Nothobranchius furzeri: one gene and its partners. Each later gene encodes a partner of the first gene's protein in a complex. Links are inferred from orthologs where the notes say so. Each region holds a gene or a part of one and is shown in the gene's direction. Other genes may lie near its edges.

The links.
Region 2: cyclin-dependent kinase 2-associated protein 1 (region 1) and chd5 share a complex: the UniProt entries of both Homo sapiens proteins name them as parts of the nucleosome remodeling and deacetylase (NuRD) repressor complex. The link is inferred for Nothobranchius furzeri from reciprocal best matches to the Homo sapiens genes CDK2AP1 and CHD5.
Region 3: cyclin-dependent kinase 2-associated protein 1 (region 1) and mta1 share a complex: the UniProt entries of both Homo sapiens proteins name them as parts of the nucleosome remodeling and deacetylase (NuRD) repressor complex. The link is inferred for Nothobranchius furzeri from reciprocal best matches to the Homo sapiens genes CDK2AP1 and MTA1.

Annotation. Positions count from the first base shown.
Region 1 is NC_091746.1:75,832,655-75,838,800, forward strand, and holds the start of cyclin-dependent kinase 2-associated protein 1, read left to right. Parts: upstream 1-2,673; 5' UTR 2,674-2,781; coding exon 2,782-2,848; intron 2,849-4,652; coding exon 4,653-4,753; intron 4,754-6,146. UniProt on the Homo sapiens protein: Inhibitor of cyclin-dependent kinase CDK2. Also acts as a component of the histone deacetylase NuRD complex which participates in the remodeling of chromatin.
Region 2 is NC_091743.1:75,303,421-75,309,466, forward strand, and holds part of chd5 (chromodomain-helicase-DNA-binding protein 5), read left to right. Parts: intron 1-330; coding exon 331-572; intron 573-665; coding exon 666-778; intron 779-907; coding exon 908-1,034; intron 1,035-1,313; coding exon 1,314-1,480; intron 1,481-4,126; coding exon 4,127-4,345; intron 4,346-4,469; coding exon 4,470-4,676; intron 4,677-5,795; coding exon 5,796-6,007; intron 6,008-6,046. UniProt on the Homo sapiens protein: ATP-dependent chromatin-remodeling factor that binds DNA through histones and regulates gene transcription. May specifically recognize and bind trimethylated 'Lys-27' (H3K27me3) and non-methylated 'Lys-4' of histone H3.
Region 3 is NC_091758.1:21,770,616-21,776,761, reverse strand, and holds the start of mta1 (metastasis-associated protein MTA1), read left to right. Parts: upstream 1-3,149; 5' UTR 3,150-3,261; coding exon 3,262-3,289; intron 3,290-6,146. UniProt on the Homo sapiens protein: Transcriptional coregulator which can act as both a transcriptional corepressor and coactivator. Acts as a component of the histone deacetylase NuRD complex which participates in the remodeling of chromatin.

The DNA of each region.
Region 1 (6,146 bases):
CCCTCCACCAAACCTCCCCGAAGCCTGAGGCGCCGAGCCGTGGTGACTGTTGGATGCCAAACAGCGGTTGTGTTTTAAATCGGAGTCTCCCGAACATCGCTGCTCGTACGCAGACACCCGGCATTCAGTGCGAGCGTGTAGATCTCCGCTGGTTAGTCCAGCTTTCTGGGTCCAAGCTAATGGTGGAAGAACCAGAGGAGCTTCTTTGGCTGAAGTAAAGTCCTGTGTTGATGTTTGACTCATGGCATCTGTCACTAGGAAATACAGGATTAATCGTTCGAAATATTCCAACATTCTGTTCATAATCAGATCAAAGCACCGTCGGTATTCCAAACAGTTACATCTGTCCAGTTAATTTGGTTTTGTTTCACACACGGGTCTGAAGATCATCACCTGCTGGTTTTGTTTTGTTTCTCAATCCCAACACAAGCAGCCAGAGCGGGTCCAGAATGCCTTTGTGTTAGTAGAGCAGTCAGGAGCCCGGTGAAGCCCTGAAGATGTTCGTCACACACGTCTGCGGGGAAGACCAACTCAAGTGATGCAGAAGGGATTCGCTGCAGCAGTGGCTCGGTTTATTATTGATAGGAGATGTGGCAGCATGTAATGAGTTTGAAGCTTAATGTTTGCTAAAAAGGATTTTCTTTGTCCAGATTTTGTATATTTCTAGTTTTCTGTTGTAGATATTTTCTTCCACTAGATGCTCAAAAGGAAAAGCTGCAGGTTTTTGACAATTCAGTTAAAACTCATTATGAGGTCTGTGTTATAAATCCGTTAAATGTTATTTAACATTCTAATAACCGCTGATTTTGTGTTGCTGCACTCCCGGTCTTTCCAAAAGATGCCCCCCCTCCCCCATTTGACCCGAGTTTGAGTTTATAGCAGTTGGATTTTCATTCATGTAGAGTTGATGAAATGATCTTTATCTGCTTCCAGAGCAGTCTGACCTGACGGCTTCACACCGTTTTTGTTGAGTCTGCTCAGGGGAGGCGCTCGTACCCAGAGCTCCAAAAAGCATGACCAGAGTCTTCAGTTTCAGTGATGTTTCGCTGCGTTCAGCTGGACTTGCAGCTTGTTTTCTTTGTACATATTTCAAACGGGTGTCTCCTTTCTTTAGGTCCTGTTGTAATTAAATCTTTCTGTGGTAAAGTGTGACCCTTTTGCCCCCTCACTCCTACATCTCACTAGGTCTGAAGACTGGCTGTTAAACTCAGGATGCGTTTTTGTGGGGCAGGTTTCTCGAACATACCCCGATCCTCTGGATTAGCTGGCGGTGGGTCTGCATCCACGTCTGCTTGACCGACGATGCATTTAAAAACAGACCTTTGTATTATTTGTACAGTTTGGAATTCTTCACACGGTGGATCTCAGTCTCTGGAAAGCACTGGGGGAGCTGCTCCTGAATCGCAGCTTACGTTTTAACTTGAATGTGCACCTTTTAAAAGCGGACGCCTCGCGCTTTTGTCATGTACACGAACTGCAGTGTGTGCAGGTTGTTTTTGAATGCTGTTGTAAGGGGAAGGGTCGCTTAAGATTCTCCGGAAACAACAGAAGGACTTTCTCCCACCTAAATCATCGCTGGAGTTGCACTAGTGACAAGACTTGTACTGACTCACCAGTACCTGTGCAAGAAGGAGTGCATTCTCAATAAACCCTGTTGGTTTTTGTACAAACTAGAAAATAAACACCAAATATAAAACATTAGTTATTGACTATATTTCATAATTTGATGGTTTAACTTAAATTTTTTTTTGTAGCTACTTTCAGGTTTATGTATTTTCATTTTTAAATTGTGTCCTTATAGAGGTTTAGACTTAAAAAATTCTACAACTAATGCTAAAATAGCATTAAAGTATGTATAAATATATATAATACTAGTGGCTATTGGAAAATGTGCATTACACAGAGAGTGTACAATTGTCCAAAAAGCCACTACAAGTACTTTTTAATAGTTTCTGTATAAACTTATACAAATGAAAATAGCCTTTTATTTTGTGGATTACCTTTGCCTATTTTTACTTCAGCGGTTTGTGATTACGCTTAGTTTGTAAGTTGCCAGCGATGATGCTCCATAAAAACGTGCTCCAGCCTCGGGTCAGCGATTGTGGGGGCCCCTGCCCTACTGGGGTCACGACACTGGGACTAACACTGTCCAACCACGTGGCCTGATGGGGGAAAAAAGGGATCCCTGAAAAGCCTAGTTTTAAAAAGAAGACGAGCACATGGGTCACCAGAACAGCTCCTGCCTTCTGCTTTGATTTTTGGTTTAAAACATCCGCGAATAAAACGATGGAAGTTCCCACACAAAACAAATTAGGTAATTTAATTTCTTTATTTTCTTTCATAATTTTTTTAAGTGTTGTAAATAAAACTCGCTCATTTGTTTGACTTAACGCAAACTAAGCATCTCCAAACATCTGCATCAAGTTTCTTGTTATGATGTAAAAACTCATTATTTTCTTTTAATCTGAAAAATAAAATTTCAAAGTTAACATAAAAACCTTCAAAAGTTGATTCTTCTGTAAGTGTTAAAAGTCCGTGGGCCGGAGTTAACTTTCTTACATAAAATCAGGCTAAATGTGTGTAAAAGCGGCTGATTTTCACGCCTTCTTGGTGAAAACCGTGTTTTAAGTGTTTTTCCTGCTGAGCCGCAGTGGATGGTAGAAACTCGGTGGGTGTCAATATAAAGTGACGGCCATATTTGCCGGTGCCGCTGTTGTAAACAAAAAGTGAGAGACAGACGCTTCACTGAATTTCGGGTCATTTTTATTTCTTTAATTTACAATGTCTCTGGGAATGTCTTATAAACCCAATGCCCATCAGCACATTCCGGGAACTTCTGGGAACCAGGGTAAGGCGAAACCGTGGGAGAAAATCCAAGCATCCGCCTGTTAAATCGAGTGTTAAATTCGGGGTCTCGGAGAATACCTGGAGAAGACCGTGTCTGTAGTTTTTGTCCAGTTATATATATAGGGTCAGATCCTGGGAGCTAGGCTAATTCATATCCGCCATTATTACTAATGTAAAAGAGCGCCATCCGGGAGCCGCGGCGGCCGAGAAACACGGTGGGGATGAGAAACGAGGCGGCGGCGGTTCCGAAAATGGGTTTCTCCGTCGTCCGGGGCCGCGGTCCCGCCGGGGGGTTGCCGTTACACGGTGACAAAAATGTATCACTTATGTCTTCTTGAGCCAGCCTTGTTCTGTTCCCTCCATGATGCTCCTCGGTCGGAGCTGCCGATTGATCTGCCTCTGAGAATTTTACGTCCCATCGAGGACACCTGGTGTTGGACACGGGTACTGCAGCTAAACAAAGAGGCAGCGCGGCGCTGTGTGAGAGGGTTAATAACGTGTTCACAAACGGGTTTTACATGAAATTAGCATCACTGGCTTACAATAGAACAATCAACGTGAGATTCTTTAAACGCGTTTTTAAAAAGAGTTTTAGTATATCAATATATTGTTGATGTCACTACAGTTCCAGGTGTAGTGAAGGCAGAAAACATGTCTAACAAAAGAAAAGCCCTCTGTTTTATTTTACGAACTTTGTGTTTTCACTCACTCATTTTCTGGCTCTGTTTGGGAGTGATGAGCATCAGGAGTGAGTTTATCAGGGGGACAGCTCATGTTAGGTCAGCGGGCTCCTGGAGGGCTCCCATATCCAGCATGTTTTACTTGTTTCCCCGCTCCAAAGAACCTGAATCAGTGGTTGAATTACTAAGTGCTGCAGAAGCATGTTAGTCACATTTGTTGGGACGAATAAATGACTAAAACATAGGAGATCTGGAGGACCAGGGTTGCAGAACACTGTTTTGGAGATGAAGTCAGAGAGACCAGACTTAGAGGTCCAGAGGAAACATTACGTAGGTAGAAGGATGCCGAGGGTGGAGTCAGCAGGCAGGAGGTTGAGGGGGGATTCAGTGAAAGAGGACATAACATTAGTTGGTGTGAGGGTAGAGGATGTGGAAGACAGGACTAGAAGGAGACAGATGACTGGCTGTAGAGGGACATGCCCAAAGCCAAAGAAGAAGACTCCTTTTCTGTGCCGCCTCATCCTCTATAGGGTCTTGGGGAACTGGTGTCTCAGCATTCTGCGGACGAGTGGTCACCCTAGACAAGTCTCCAGTCCCTCACAGGAACACAGAGACAAGCAACCACTCTGACTCACACCAGAGACAGCCATTTACACCCAAAGACACGCTTTTGGTTGGTGGGAGGATATTTACTTTAGAATTGCTTCAGTTTGAAATCTTTGGTGGTTCAATCCTGACTTCTCCCACATGTGGAAATGTCCTTGGGCAAGACTCTGAATCCTGTGTGTGTGTGTGTGTGTGTGTGTAAAGCGCTTTAACTGGTCATTAGGCTATAAAAATGTTGTATAAATATTTTCCTCCTACTGTTTATGAAAGGATATTGAGAACAATGCTACACAGAATTGGGGAAACATTCAGTTTTATTCGTTGTCCTCGCTCCTCCATTCTGTCACCACAGCATTCCCAACACTTGCTGTGAGTTTTAGCGTTTCAGAACCTCTTAACTGGGCGTGGACATCAACGGCAGATCGCTGCAACGACGTTGCAATAGCGACAAATTAGCCATATATTGAATATCTATGTTTATTTGAACTGATGTGGATTTTTTATTTGTTCTCCATACAGTTGGGAACCTTCCTTCTCCGTCGGCAGCTAACCTGGCCACGTTGCAGTCCTACAGGCCCATTCTGAGCGACTATGGACCTCCATCTCTGGGATTCTCGCAGGTGACTGCTGCCATTGGCCAAAAGAAGTTTTATTTAAATTTTAGTGTACTAGAGGTACAGTGTAGTCTAACTTAAACAAATTATACAAGAAACTCCACATCCAAATATCAACCATCTGCCAACACATAATCGGTTATTAGGGGCTCGACACACGGGAGGCGACAAACGACCGCGATCAGTGAAATTTGTCGCCGTCGCTTTTATTACCTGTCACACGGGAGGCGATCCGCGGTAGCGGCCAGCGGCAAAGCCGTCTACGCGTTCTGTTCCACGGCGAAATCGAAACTTCCGTTGTTTTGATTGGCTGTGTCAGGTTGGAGGGAATTAAGGTTATTTAAGCGGTTCAGAGTTAATAAAGTGGTAGATATGATGTTTCACAAGGTGCTGCTAGAGTTATGTGAAATCTTACTTCTGATTTTACTATAAAACATAATAATAATCAACTTCTCCTCCATGTTTGCTCGGAGATGTACGGAGCATCCTGTCCGCTCATTGGTCAGTGAATGAAACCTCCGTTGATTGGTCCTCATCCGAGCGACAGCGATGAAAAGTTGAAAATGTTTCAACTTTCTGGGATCGCGTCGCTGGGTCGTCCGTGCACGACACGTGCACGAGTGCAAAGTTTCACACGCACGTTTTTCGCGTTTCGCTTGGTAGGAGGGAGACCCGCGATTATCGCTTTGTCACGCATGTCTCATTGAAAATTAATGGAGGAGAGGCGACGTCGCCTCCCGTGTGTCGAGCCCATTATCCAAACTAAACAGTCAGATGTCACTACTTGCCATCAGCTTACATAAAGCCAACAAATGTCCGCTTTGTCAAGCTACCCTCAACATTGGCAGTCAACTTCCGGTTCAGAATGATAAAAGCGCACTTATTTTCCCGATTGAAATGGGTACTTCTAATAGCGTTAGCTTAGCTTAAAATACTCTGAACTAGGGCTGAACGATTTTGTAAAATAATCTAATTGCGATTTTTTTCTTCAATATTGCAATTGCAGTTTAATTCACAATTATTTTCTCAAGGGGCTTTTCTCATTTTTCAACTAACGGAAGCAAAAACAAAAAATAATCTATGTAACTTGTACTGAATATAAACAAGTTTATGTATCTACATATTTATCTACATATCATATCAACAAGTTTATTTGTCTACATCAGGGATTCCCAAATGGGCCATTCCCATCTGTACCGGGTCGGCCCGGGCCGGGTAGCGTAGGTTGTTTACATATCTGGGTGGCCTGGAATTTTCCCGGGCCAACCAAGGCTCATTCTCGGCCCTCTTCCCGAGGGGTACTGCTTCAGGCCGACCAGGGCCAACACGCCCACTGCTGACAGCAAATTCACACCTTCCATTAGAGCAAGCCTCTGATTGGTGGGTAGAATCAGCCCAT
Region 2 (6,046 bases), on another chromosome or scaffold:
GTGGAGCATGAGCTCCTGCGGCGCCTCCTGTGTGCAGTCAGCTGCTCGCTGGATGTCTGTGACAGCCGGGAGGCTCAGGGACTCGGCGCTCTGACCCACTATCTTTCACAGGCGAGCGTGCCAAACCTCAAGCTGTTGCCTGACAAATCTCAAACATGACATAGTTACAGCAAAGCAAAGGAGCACAAAACTTAAGGGGCAGTGGAGTGTCAACAAATAGAGACCCAGTCTCCCTCCGGTGCTGATTGGAGGGTAAATTACACCAGCAGAAATGAATTGTGACATAATAAAGCTGCTGCTCTTGTCTCCTCTCCCTGTGGTCACACTCAGGCCTCTCATTGCCAAGAAGAATCCGAAGATTCCCATGTCAAAGATGATGACGGTGTTAGGGGCCAAGTGGCGTGAGTTCAGTGCCAACAACCCATTCAAAGGCGCATCTGCCACTGCTGTGGCTGCTGCTGTGGCTGCCGCCGTGGAAACGGTCACTGTAGCTCAGCCAGCATCTGTGAGCAGTGGCCAGCTGAGCATTCAGCAAGGGCCAATCAAAAAAGCCAAAACCAAAGAGGGAAAAGGTGAGTCCTGTTCAACCGTGGCACCATTTTTATTGCTGTTTTAGGGATATTAGCATGGATTCTTCCTGGGCTTGTCTGATGTTTGTGTCTCAGGACCAGGAGTTAGAAAGAAAAGCAAGAGTGCAAAAGAAGCAAAGAAGAAACCCAAGCCGAAGAAAACTAAATCAAAGTCAGGTCAAAGTGGGAAGAAGAAGAAAGCGTCCTCCGTATGTATTTTAAATACTTTCAGCCTCTCAACGATCACCATTTCACACTTACTATTCTGACTGGGAGGCTTCACTATGTGAGTTTTCTGTTTTGCTCCAAGCTCCTGAGTCTGTGTTTGATTTTTCCAGAGTGAGGAGGACATCCTGGAGGAGTCAGACTTTGATGACATCAGTATCCACAGTGCCTCGGTGCTTTCTGATACCTCAGGGGCTGCCACCAAGAAAAAGGCCCGGCGTGGGCGGAAAAAAAGGAAAAGTATGTTTACTATTTACTCTTTCTGAGCTCTGGTGTGTGCTTTTCTCCCCCTGAAAAATCCCACAGAAATCTCTCAAAGCCAGACTGTTTGATGACGGGTAATGAGGTAATTAAAAAGTACTTTTTAAAAGCTGTGTTTATTTTGGCAACGCAGGAGAGGTGATCTTTTACAGCAGCTGTTGCTCTAAAACTCATGGAGTTTATTCAGATTTAGAGCCTGATCAGGGTTGAGTAGCTTCGTTTTCGTCAGAACTTAAACAGTTCTTTTGCTTTCCGTAGAGGAGGATGGCGATGGCTATGAGACGGACCACCAGGACTACTGTGAGGTTTGCCAGCAGGGTGGAGAGATTATCTTGTGCGACACCTGTCCACGGGCTTACCACCTGGTCTGTCTGGACCCTGAGCTGGAAAAAGCACCTGAAGGAAAATGGAGCTGTCCACACTGTGTGAGTACATCCATTCATTTAACGTTAAAGTCCCAGTAGTTGTCACACTGGTGTGTGACGTTTGTTCTCCGCATTCGACCCATCACCTGGGGGAGCGGTGAGCTGCAGACACGGAGGCGTTAGGTCCCATTTGTAAAGTCTCTGGTACGACCTGACCATGGATTTGAACCCACGATCCCCCAGTTCCAGGGTGGACATTACCACTCGGTCACTGAGCTGGTAACCCAGAAACTGGCATATTATGTCACTGCCTGCATGCTCATTTATTAAGACAATGCTTTGGGGCAACATCCTGGATGAGCAGAATGTTGGTGATGCAAGTAGAGGAATATGTAGCCCTTTGGAATAATACAGGTAGACAGGATATTTCATCTGCACCATCCTCTGTCTGCTAGTACTGAATCATTATTTAGATGTGGTCCTAAATGTCTTGTTTTGTATTTATCTCATCATTCATTGCACCCATTTTTTCTTGCATCTCGTGAGCATCATTGTTAGCAGTATATAAGCTCTTGATTTCCTGGATGAAAGCTGAGATTGGTGTTTGGGTCCAGTCTAATCAGCAAGTGTCGTTTCAGACTTAATTTGAGTACAAAGTGACATATCCATCGATCCATCCATCCATCCATTTATTTTCTGAACCCGCTTGTCCATGTAGGGTCGCGGGGGGCTGGTGCCTATCTCCAGCGGTCAATGGGCAAGTAGGCGGGGTACACTCTGGACAAAGAGCCAGTCCATCCCAGGGCAACACAGAGACACACAGGACAAACAATGAAGCATGCACACACACACTCAGGACAATTTAGAGAGACCAGTCAACCTGACTATCGTGTTTTTGTGGGAGGAAGCCGGAGTACCCGGAGAGAACCCACGCATGCACAGGGAGAACATGCAAACTCCATGCAGAAAGATCCCAGGCCGGGAAGCGAACCCGGGACCTTCTTGCTGCAAGGCAACAGCTCTAACCACTGCGCCACTGCGCAGCCCTCAAAGTGACATAAATAATGTTAATTCATTGTTTTTAAAGGCATGGGACTCAGAGAAATCATGTAATAATCGTTCTTTATGAAATTCAGTCGGTCACTCTGAGTTTCACATGCACGCTGAATGTGAAAACATTCTCCAGCCCCCAATTCTTGCATTAGCTGCAAAAAGGAAACTGACAATTAAACGATTGGGTCAGAAAAAGCCAGTCTCTTACATGTCACGGGGGAAATTCATGGCCCCGCCTTGGCTTAGGACTGCCCCCAGGAAGGAGAGAGCAAAGTCCATCCTGACTATCCATCCATCCATTTTCTGAACCCACTTTGTCCACGCAGGGTCGCGCGCCGGGGGGTGGGGGGGGGGCTATCTCCAGCGGTCAACGGGCAATCGGGTGGGGTACACCCTGTACAGAGAGCCAGTCCATTGCAGAGCAACACAGAGACACACAGGACAATCGATCAAGCACACACACACTCACACCTAAGGACAATTTAGACAGACCAATCAACCTAACAGTCATGTTTTTGGACTGTGGGAGGAAGCCGGAGTACCCGGAGAGAACCCACATATGCACAGGGAGAACATGCAAACTCCATGCAGAAAGATCCCAGGCTGGGAAGCGAACCCAGGACCTTCTTGCTACAAGGCAACAGCTCTAACCACTGTGCCACTGCGCAGCCCCGTCCTGACTAGCAGAAGCTAACTGTTAGCATTAACAAATCCACAACATAGCGTCACATGTTAATGCTTGTGATGTTTGTGGAGATAAAACATCAATGTTGCACTTTTTACCCAAGAAAGACGAGCGACTGGAAGCAGCAGAACAGTCCTGTTGCTGTCAGCCAATCAGAGGCCAGTAACGGCCAAAATCTAGACGTTTAGCCCACCACCTTATTTAGATGCTGGAATGTCATTAATAACGTGAGCTGATGCACTAAATGTCTGCAGCTGAATCTGTTTTTGAACACTAAATTAAAGTTAAAGCACTGGTCAATGTTTAAATCAGACATCCAACTAAAGTCAAACAAATCAATTACCCAACCAACAATTAATTATTCTCAACGGGTTCTTACAAATAAATTGTAGTTAAATATTAATGTTAGAACATTTCAGATGTTATTCAGGAACATAAATATACCTTTAAATTCTGCAGCAGCTCCAGGCTGCCCTGGGATATGCCTGACTTTAAATCGACTTTACTAAGGAGGAATGTCGGCCGATGCCGATTATATAAAAATATCAGATATCGGCCAGCTGATACATCGCTCTGCTCCTAGTTAAAACATTGTTAAGAGGCATGAAGATTGTCTAGAAGCTAGCTTGTTTTGTAGATTTGCTGCAGCCAGCTGTCTAGATCAGACCGGTTTTCTCCATGAAGGTTTTTGTCACCAAAGAAGTTTACCCTCGTCAGAGCAAACAGTTGCCGGCTGTTTCACGAGATATTTAACGCTTGAATGAATTTGTGAAACAGACCGTGCTCTAGAACGTTTGACTTGAGCACAAAAAATCCTCCAAGCTTTGTTTAAAAAATGCACTTTAATATTTTCATGGAGCAATAAAAATAGCTTATCTAGACAAAGTTATGTTGGCGCCGCTTTATTTAGTGGCTTTCCTCACGAGAAGGAACGTGTTGCATTTTGTTTTGTAACCTTTTATCTTCAGGAGAAGGAGGGAATTCAGTGGGAGGCCAAGGATGAGGAGGAGGAGGAAGAGGAGGCTGCAGGTGAGGAGGAGGATGACCACATGGAGTTTTGCAGAGTGTGTAAAGATGGAGGAGAGCTCCTGTGCTGTGACACGTGCCCTTCGTCCTACCACATCCACTGCCTGAACCCACCTCTTCCTGAGATCCCAAACGGGGAATGGCTGTGTCCTCGCTGCATGGTGAGCTCAGTCCAGATATGTTTAATGCTCTGTATCCTCACAAGCTGGTGTTCATCAACGTTTAGTCCTTTTTTGCTTTGGTTAAGTGGTTTAAACAACATGCATTACTTCTGTTCTTGCTCAGTGTCCTCCTCTCAAAGGAAAAGTTCAGAAGATTCTGCACTGGAGGTGGGGAGACCCTCCGCTGCCGTCGGAATCTCCTGCACATCCTGTTGGCAAGCTGCCTGATCCCATGGCCAAGCCCCCCCTCAAGGGCCGCCCAGAGAGGGAGTTCTTTGTAAAGTGGGCTGGCCTGTCGTACTGGCACTGCTCCTGGGTCAGCGAGCTGCAGGTGAGACGCCAGAGGTGGAGCCGGTTTCCAAAACCAGCATTTAGCAACAGTAACGATCTGTCTTCTGTGATGAATGTGGGACACAGGAAAGTCGGGGGGTTACTGAACATTATTTGGTATTTTAGGTTTTCACAAAAACAAACATCTAGTTTCAGGAGCAAAAGTTACTCAGTTTAGTCACTGACTGTCCTATTTCCAAAGTAGAATGCAATACAATTTCTCTAAAAAATATCATTTTCTAATGAATCTGTTAAGGGCATACTATGCACATTTTTCACATTTTAGGCATTTTCTTGAGCCAGTATGTGCTAAAATGACCCTTTACAGGGTTAATGAAAGGCCATGCTGACCCCCATGCCCTCTGTGGCCAGAATGCTGCCGTGCAACCTCAGAGTATCTGGACCGGTCTGTTATGGGCCATTCCCATCTGTACCGGGTCGGCCCGGGCTGGGTAGCCCCAGTCGGCCCCAGCCTGGCCCGGTTGATTCCACACATCCTTGTCTTAAGCCCATGTGGGCTGATTCTACCCACCAATCAGAGGCTTGCTCTAATGGAAGGTGTGGATTTACTGTCAGCAGTGGGTGTGTTGGCCCTGGTCGGCCTGAAGCAGACCCCCTCGAGAAGAGGGCTGAGAATGAGCCTTGGTTGGCCCGGAAAAATACCAGGCCGCCCAGATGTGTAAACAACCTACGCTACCCGGCCCGGGCCGACCCGGTACAGATGGGAATGGCCCATAAGTCAGTAGTAAAGTGGAGCTGACACGCTAGTGCTGAAGTCTGCTTCCAGGGCATTTCCTGCATGTTGTAGATCATCAACACAGCTGATTTGTTTGAGTTGGTGATGAATCACTCCTGTAGAAGCTAATGAAGGCTGAGGAGACATTTCAGCAGTTAGATTAAGATGTTTTATGAGATGAACGCACAGCAAAGAAGAGTTTCACTTTTGGTTCTACGACAGTAAATGATTAAAGGACTCTACGGGGTGCTAAAAGCAAACTAAATCTACTGAACGTGGCTTTAAGTAGGAGTTTACCTGACCAGAATCGTCTGTGTGTGTGCGTGTGCGTGTACGTGTGTCTGTGTATTGTGTGTGCGTGTGCGTGTGTTTGGGGTCGTGCAGCTGGAGCTTTACCACACGGTCATGTATCGGAACTACCAGCGCAAGAACGACATGGACGAGCCCCCGCCATTTGACTACGGCTCCGGAGAAGAGGAGCTCAACAACGAGAAGAGGAAGAGCAAAGACCCCCAGTACGCTGTGATGGAGGAGCGCTTCTACCGTTACGGCATCAAACCAGAATGGATGGTTATCCACCGGATGGTGAACCACAGGTGCCTGCTTGCACTCACTCTCAAAGTTTGTCATCATTT
Region 3 (6,146 bases), on another chromosome or scaffold:
ATAAACATCACAATATATCCAGGAGTTCACTTTGATAACGATAAATGGACTACAACTACATATTTGCGCATAAATAAAAGCTGCCCACTAGATGGAGCTGTCACGTGTCATGTGACTCCAGATGGAACAGCTTCTTAAAGGGACATGAACCTCACAACCCACACACATCTTTCTATTTGTTTTATTACTGAATTTTTGGCATGGGAAAAATTATATCGGTTAGAGTCAGAAATTTCGATAAAAATTAATTTTCGATTTATTGCCCAGCTCTGTTTATCCTTGTTTAAACCAAGACTCCCTATTTAGTCCAAACCTCATCAGCAAGACCACATTTTGCTCTCAAATCTTCCTCATTCTCACCTCACTACACTGGCTTCCTGTAGAGTTCACGTTTCATTTTAAACTCCTCTACAAAGCGCTGAACCATTGAACCCTCTAAGGTTCTCATCAAGTCCTCCAAGTTGCGCAGGGGTCTTTGCGTTCTTTGATCAGGCTCTTAGAATATGGCATCACCCTCATGTAGAAGTCTGATTAGCAAGCTCTCTAGAGTTTTTAAAATCACAACTAATTTTAAAATTCAAGTTTGATTTTTGCATTTTTTTTATTTACACACATGCATTCTGTCTGGCTTTTATAGGATTTAATTCGTCTGCCTTTCCAGGTTCTCTTCCACCTGCTCCCACTGCAGCCAACAATATTGTCTGAAACATGGTCCATGGGGATTCCTGCTTGACCTCATCACCAAATAAAATGAACTGTGCGACCCTACTGAGTCTATTAGTATTCTAGGTATAAATGCAGGAATGGTGGGATTTATAACAGTCATTTGTATCATTAAAACCAAAATTGTTGATTTCACAGCCACTATAATTCAGTTGTACAGCATGATTCAACATGTGCAGAACATGTCATAATTAGACTAATACAGTTCAGGTCAACATGCACCAATATAGTTATCATTCCTTTATAAAGTGCCCTCCAGTGAGCTATGTCACAGGTTGCTCTATAATAAAAGTAATTAGGCTTTTCATTCAGTTAATCAAGAATATTCTCTGTGAGGTGTTCAGGAGAAAGTGCCACGACAATGGCCTTATTTCTAACCCTTCCTTCTTACACCCACCAGAGAGAGATCTGTGGAAGCACATTCAGTGGCATGTGATGCTTCTTCAGGGATACAGTCCTAATTGATTTCCTTTGTGTCTTTGTCTCTCCCGTGCATCTCTAGCTGCAACGTGTTGGAGAAGAGGGAAGGGAATTCATCCAAGGTCATCTTCCAGGATAGCAAATAAAAAAGTTTCAGAAGATTTGCTGAGTTTTGAGCCAAACTACAGACTGGAATCCACCAGGGAAAACACCTGCCCTGCCTGCACGCTTGTCTGCTCGTCATCCTGACTACAGCAACATCTGGCAGAGGAGCAAGTAGATTCAAAATGAACATCTGCAACAGCAGCAAGCTGCCAAGTAAACAGGTCTAATGAAAGTAGATACAGTTCCCAAAAATCAGGCTACAGTCGACTATTCCTTTTTCTTCAATTAAGCCCATACCGGCAGACATAAAAACACAGAATATTACATGGAGCCGTGGAAACTCAAAATGATCAAATTGAAGATTATTGTGTAAAACCCTCCCATGCTGCATGTCTCTTGTTTTTTGCCATAAAAGAGCTCTAGGATTTAAAACAGGATTCTTCACATGCTGCACACTTAACGAGTGCACACTGCAACTACACACGATTGGCCCGCAACAGTCATGTGACTGCAGACTGTAGTCCCTTGTGTTAGGCCACAGTAATTGAAGCTTCCATATGGTATAGATCATATGTAGCGTTCACCACAGCATTCCTCCTGCACTGAGGCTCTACACTCACATCCAGATTTAAAAACAAAGCTGTGGAAAAACCATGCTGCATTCTCTCATCACAGAGTGTCACTCATATTTAACACTTGCTAATGATTTCTCTGACAGCAGAAGAATTTCTCTTGCAGGGTGTTTGAGGCAATTTATGTATTATTTATACATAAGTAGCAACATGCTGCAAGGATCCAAGAAGAGTATGTGTTTGTGTTGGGAAAATAACAAAAGCAGAGCAAATGTATAATTTATTTTGTATGGTGGATTATGCTACAGTACATTTCTCCTTTACCATTTCAACAAAAGACAACATAAACGCAAACATTTAACTATTGAGTCATGGAAATCCCTGGATATTTTTTATAATGTTAAAACCTTGCATGTTCCAAATTATCATTCCATGAGTCACTTGGCATGTTTTTGCCTCGATAGAACACTGTGTACTTTATTTTGCGCATTGACGTCTAGGCAACAGCAGTATGTGTCCTTATTTTGGTTCAGTCACTGATACAATTCACTTGTACGTGTAAATTTTTGCTAATAAAATGATCTGTACAGATTGTTCTGCTAGTGTTGTTAAGGCCGGTAAACACCTTCAGAATAAGATGAGAGTTAAACTGCTTCTTTTAAAATAATACACATATTTGGAAATGAATTAAATGAGCGAATAAACCCATGATACATTTCTATATACAATCCCCATGAACTCCTTGTACAGTTCATAAACATAGTGAATGACGAATGAAATGAATGAAAAGCTTTATTTGTCCCAGGGAAGGGAAATTAGTGGGTCAACTCCTTGAGTTTTGGGGCTTATTTAAAATATATTGCATTCAGTTTGCATTTTTATAGCAAAATAATTAAATTGTTGATTTCACTGAGCACAGCAGTGTAGACGATAAAATAATTATTAATTACACCCCTTCTAACGTCAAGCGTGACCCAGAGGTCACGTAAAGGGGTTTACTCTCAAATCTCGCGATATTTCAGTTGATGAGGGAGAACAAAAAATTGGGACAAAGTTACAAAAACAGGCGAGTTTACTTTATCTTAATAACTATTCTAACTACCAGATAACTACTTTAACTATTAACAAAAACACGACTAAACCGAAAGGCGGTGGGCTACTGCGGTGACTGTGACGCATATTGAGATATATATTAAGAAATAATGGCGTAGTTAGCCACTGACGATGTTATAAAGGTAATAAGTAGTGAGATTAACGCGCCCTTTGTTATCCGTGCCGATAAGTTGGGTTTCCTGAAAAGGTGTACTGTCTCTTTAAGGTCTCTCGGGCAGTCTGTTTCGTATTGATCAATCCACCATTTTCCAACACACAGCTCCGGCAGCGGGAGAGAGCAGAGAGCCACCCCTCTACCTGGAGAGGAAGCCCGGGACCGGGGGCAGTCATGGCAGCCAACATGTACCGGGTTGGAGGTAAGCTTTGGGGCGTTTGCGTTTCGGAGCCGTGTGGCGTTTTTACTCGGCGGACTCGCCATTACCCACGGAAGCTCGTTATGAGCGTGGCTCGTCTTTTAAAAACATTTCCGTAAGCTGGGAGAGCTTTGTGCTTCTCGCAGATGATGGTGAGGAGGAGGAGGATGGTGATGAAGAGCAGCGAGCGGTTCTCTTAAACATTTGCTTCTTTTGCTGTTTTCCCCCTTAATGAACCCAGAGAGCCATCTCGGTGTTCTGGCACACCTGAACCCTCCATGACGGTTTAGTTTATTTTAAATAACATGTCACGGGTTTTCTGAAAGTTTCACCTAACTATTGTTCTTTCTGCTGCCTCCTGTAAGGAACATCGTGAGTACTTTACTGGAACCGCATAGGCATCAATGCAAGGAGGCAGCCGGGACAAAAACTTTACACTACATTTAGTTTTAACACTTTAAATGTAGAAATGACCAACAAAATATTCCAGATTAAGCTTTTTGCACATCCAGGGAGTCTCTTAATACCTAATGAAGATTCTTGAGTCCCACTCAGGTAAGACAGGTGTAAGATAGTCACGTGGCAGTGTCCAATCGTGATCTTTTTGTTTTTATTTATTTATTTTCCACATACTTTAGTGCCCAGATTAGTGTCCACTCCTGTTTGGAATGATGTTGTATAGTGAGCGTTTCTGTGTTGTTGTACATTACCACATATTTACTCTGACAACTGTTCTGTAATTCAGGGATGCTGTGACTGTACTTGGCTCGGATACAGCATCAGAAATAGCCCAAAGTGAACGTCATATATCAAATTAAAGGAGGCCTACCTGCGTGAGAACAGGATTAGTCCAGAGAGGGGTAGAAAGTTAACAATTCAGTCACCAAATGTCACTTTGTTCAGTTTCTTCATGCCACTCAGTTTTATTGATGCGCTAGGTTTTTCAAACCAGTTGTGCAAAGATTATTTTCCTTTGCTGTTTGTTTATTAGCTGAAAATGCACATTTTGGAACACATGTTACTTCACTTTACTCCAGCAAGTGATATATATCAAATGGCACTAAACCACTCACATTTACGTCTTAAGTTGTTATTTTAGTAAAATATTGTTGAGTCTGTCTAGTAAACCTAGTAATAATTGAATTTGGCCAAACTGAACTGAAACCACAACAATGAACTCTTATTAATTGCTGAGTAAACACACTTTGGGATTATTTTTCTTCTGTTGTAATAATCTAGATTAAAAAAAGGCCAGAAATGAGGCCTGATAACAAGGATCCTTTCAGAGCAGCATCACAACAAAGAGCTGCCCTTGAAGAGATGGCTGCAATTTTACAAGATAATAAGAAGCATCCTTGGGCTTTGATGTCTTTTTATTTTTATTTTTTTAACTGTGCTGGCCACAAACCACTCATCTGCTGCCTGTATCACCTTTTTCCTTGTGTCCCCATCCAAAAAATATGTTGAAGAAGTGTGTCAGACCACCAAGTTCAGACCTAGTTCAGTAAATTGCTGAGTAAATGGGAAGAGGAACTGTACGTGGTGGTTTGATTTTATTATTATAAATTGTAGAAATCCAGAATTTTTATTGGAGGGATTTAGTCAGTGGGCATGCATCCTGAAATGAATGTGATTGGCTAATAAAGGACCATGCTTAATAATTGTTTGTTATACAGAAGTTGTGTCAAGCTTAAGAATAGGGTTTGTTTAATCTACATAACAGCTGAGGTAAAATACACACACACACACACACACACACACACACACACACACACACACACACACACACACACACACACGCAGCTGCAGCAGTAGGTTTTCTGTGACGTTTTGGGAAATCTCACAAATCATATTTTATTCCATCAACTGCAGCCCTGTCCAAACTTTTTTCCCTGAGGTTTAATGTAAAACCGCTATCTTCAACTCCGTGCAAACCACTCGAGCTGCAACAGAAAATCTGCACCTGTTCTTAAAACGCATTTCATTTTAAAATATTCTTTTATTTCCTGCATCCGATTCTGATCTGCTTGAATAACGTCGTTATGAGAAAAAACACCCAGAGTTTTGAGAGGCGGTGCAGCATCACATCTGATAAACAGCAGCTAACATGTAAAATGTCTGTTTTTCTTGATCAGAGTAAAAGTAGATTTCCTTTTTGATTCTGTCCTTTTTGTTGTAAAATGTATTTAAATTATTTGTGTCTACATGTTGAGAAATTAACTGTGAGAATATTAAGTGCCAAAACCTGAAATTAGTGTCTTAAAAGCCTTTTCGTGCAAGATTACAGAATTAGCTCTAATCTCTCGTTCCCAGCATTTGTGGAGCAGGAGTCCATTATTAAGCCCCTGTTTCTACTGGAAGCTGTGGTGACTCTGCTAGTTGGTATTTTTCAGAACTGCAACAAGCCAATCAGCAAAATGTTCCCCTAAAATGCATCCACCCACTGGTCACTTTATTAGGTACAGCTTACTGGAGGCAGATGCCTTCAGAAATGAATTCTACAAGATTATAGATGCATTTCTCAGAGTCCATGTTGGTCCAAATTAACATGACTGCATCACATAGCAACATACACGATGAATCTCCCATTCCACCACATCTCTAAGTTCTGGGGCCTCATTTATCAGGCTTGCTTACGCACAAAACGGGGTCGGAAAACTGCGTAAGCAACTTTCCACGCAAACTTTGGGATTCATGAAAGAAAACGTAGTAGAAAAATGTGCGCAACTTTAAGTTGACTAAGGACCTGGCTTACGTACATTTTGGACATGGAGAGCACCTGCAGTGTTGCTGCTGAGAAGGATAAAATTATGAAATCCTGCAGCATTATCACTTGTACTGCTTTGTTTTCACACAGAAC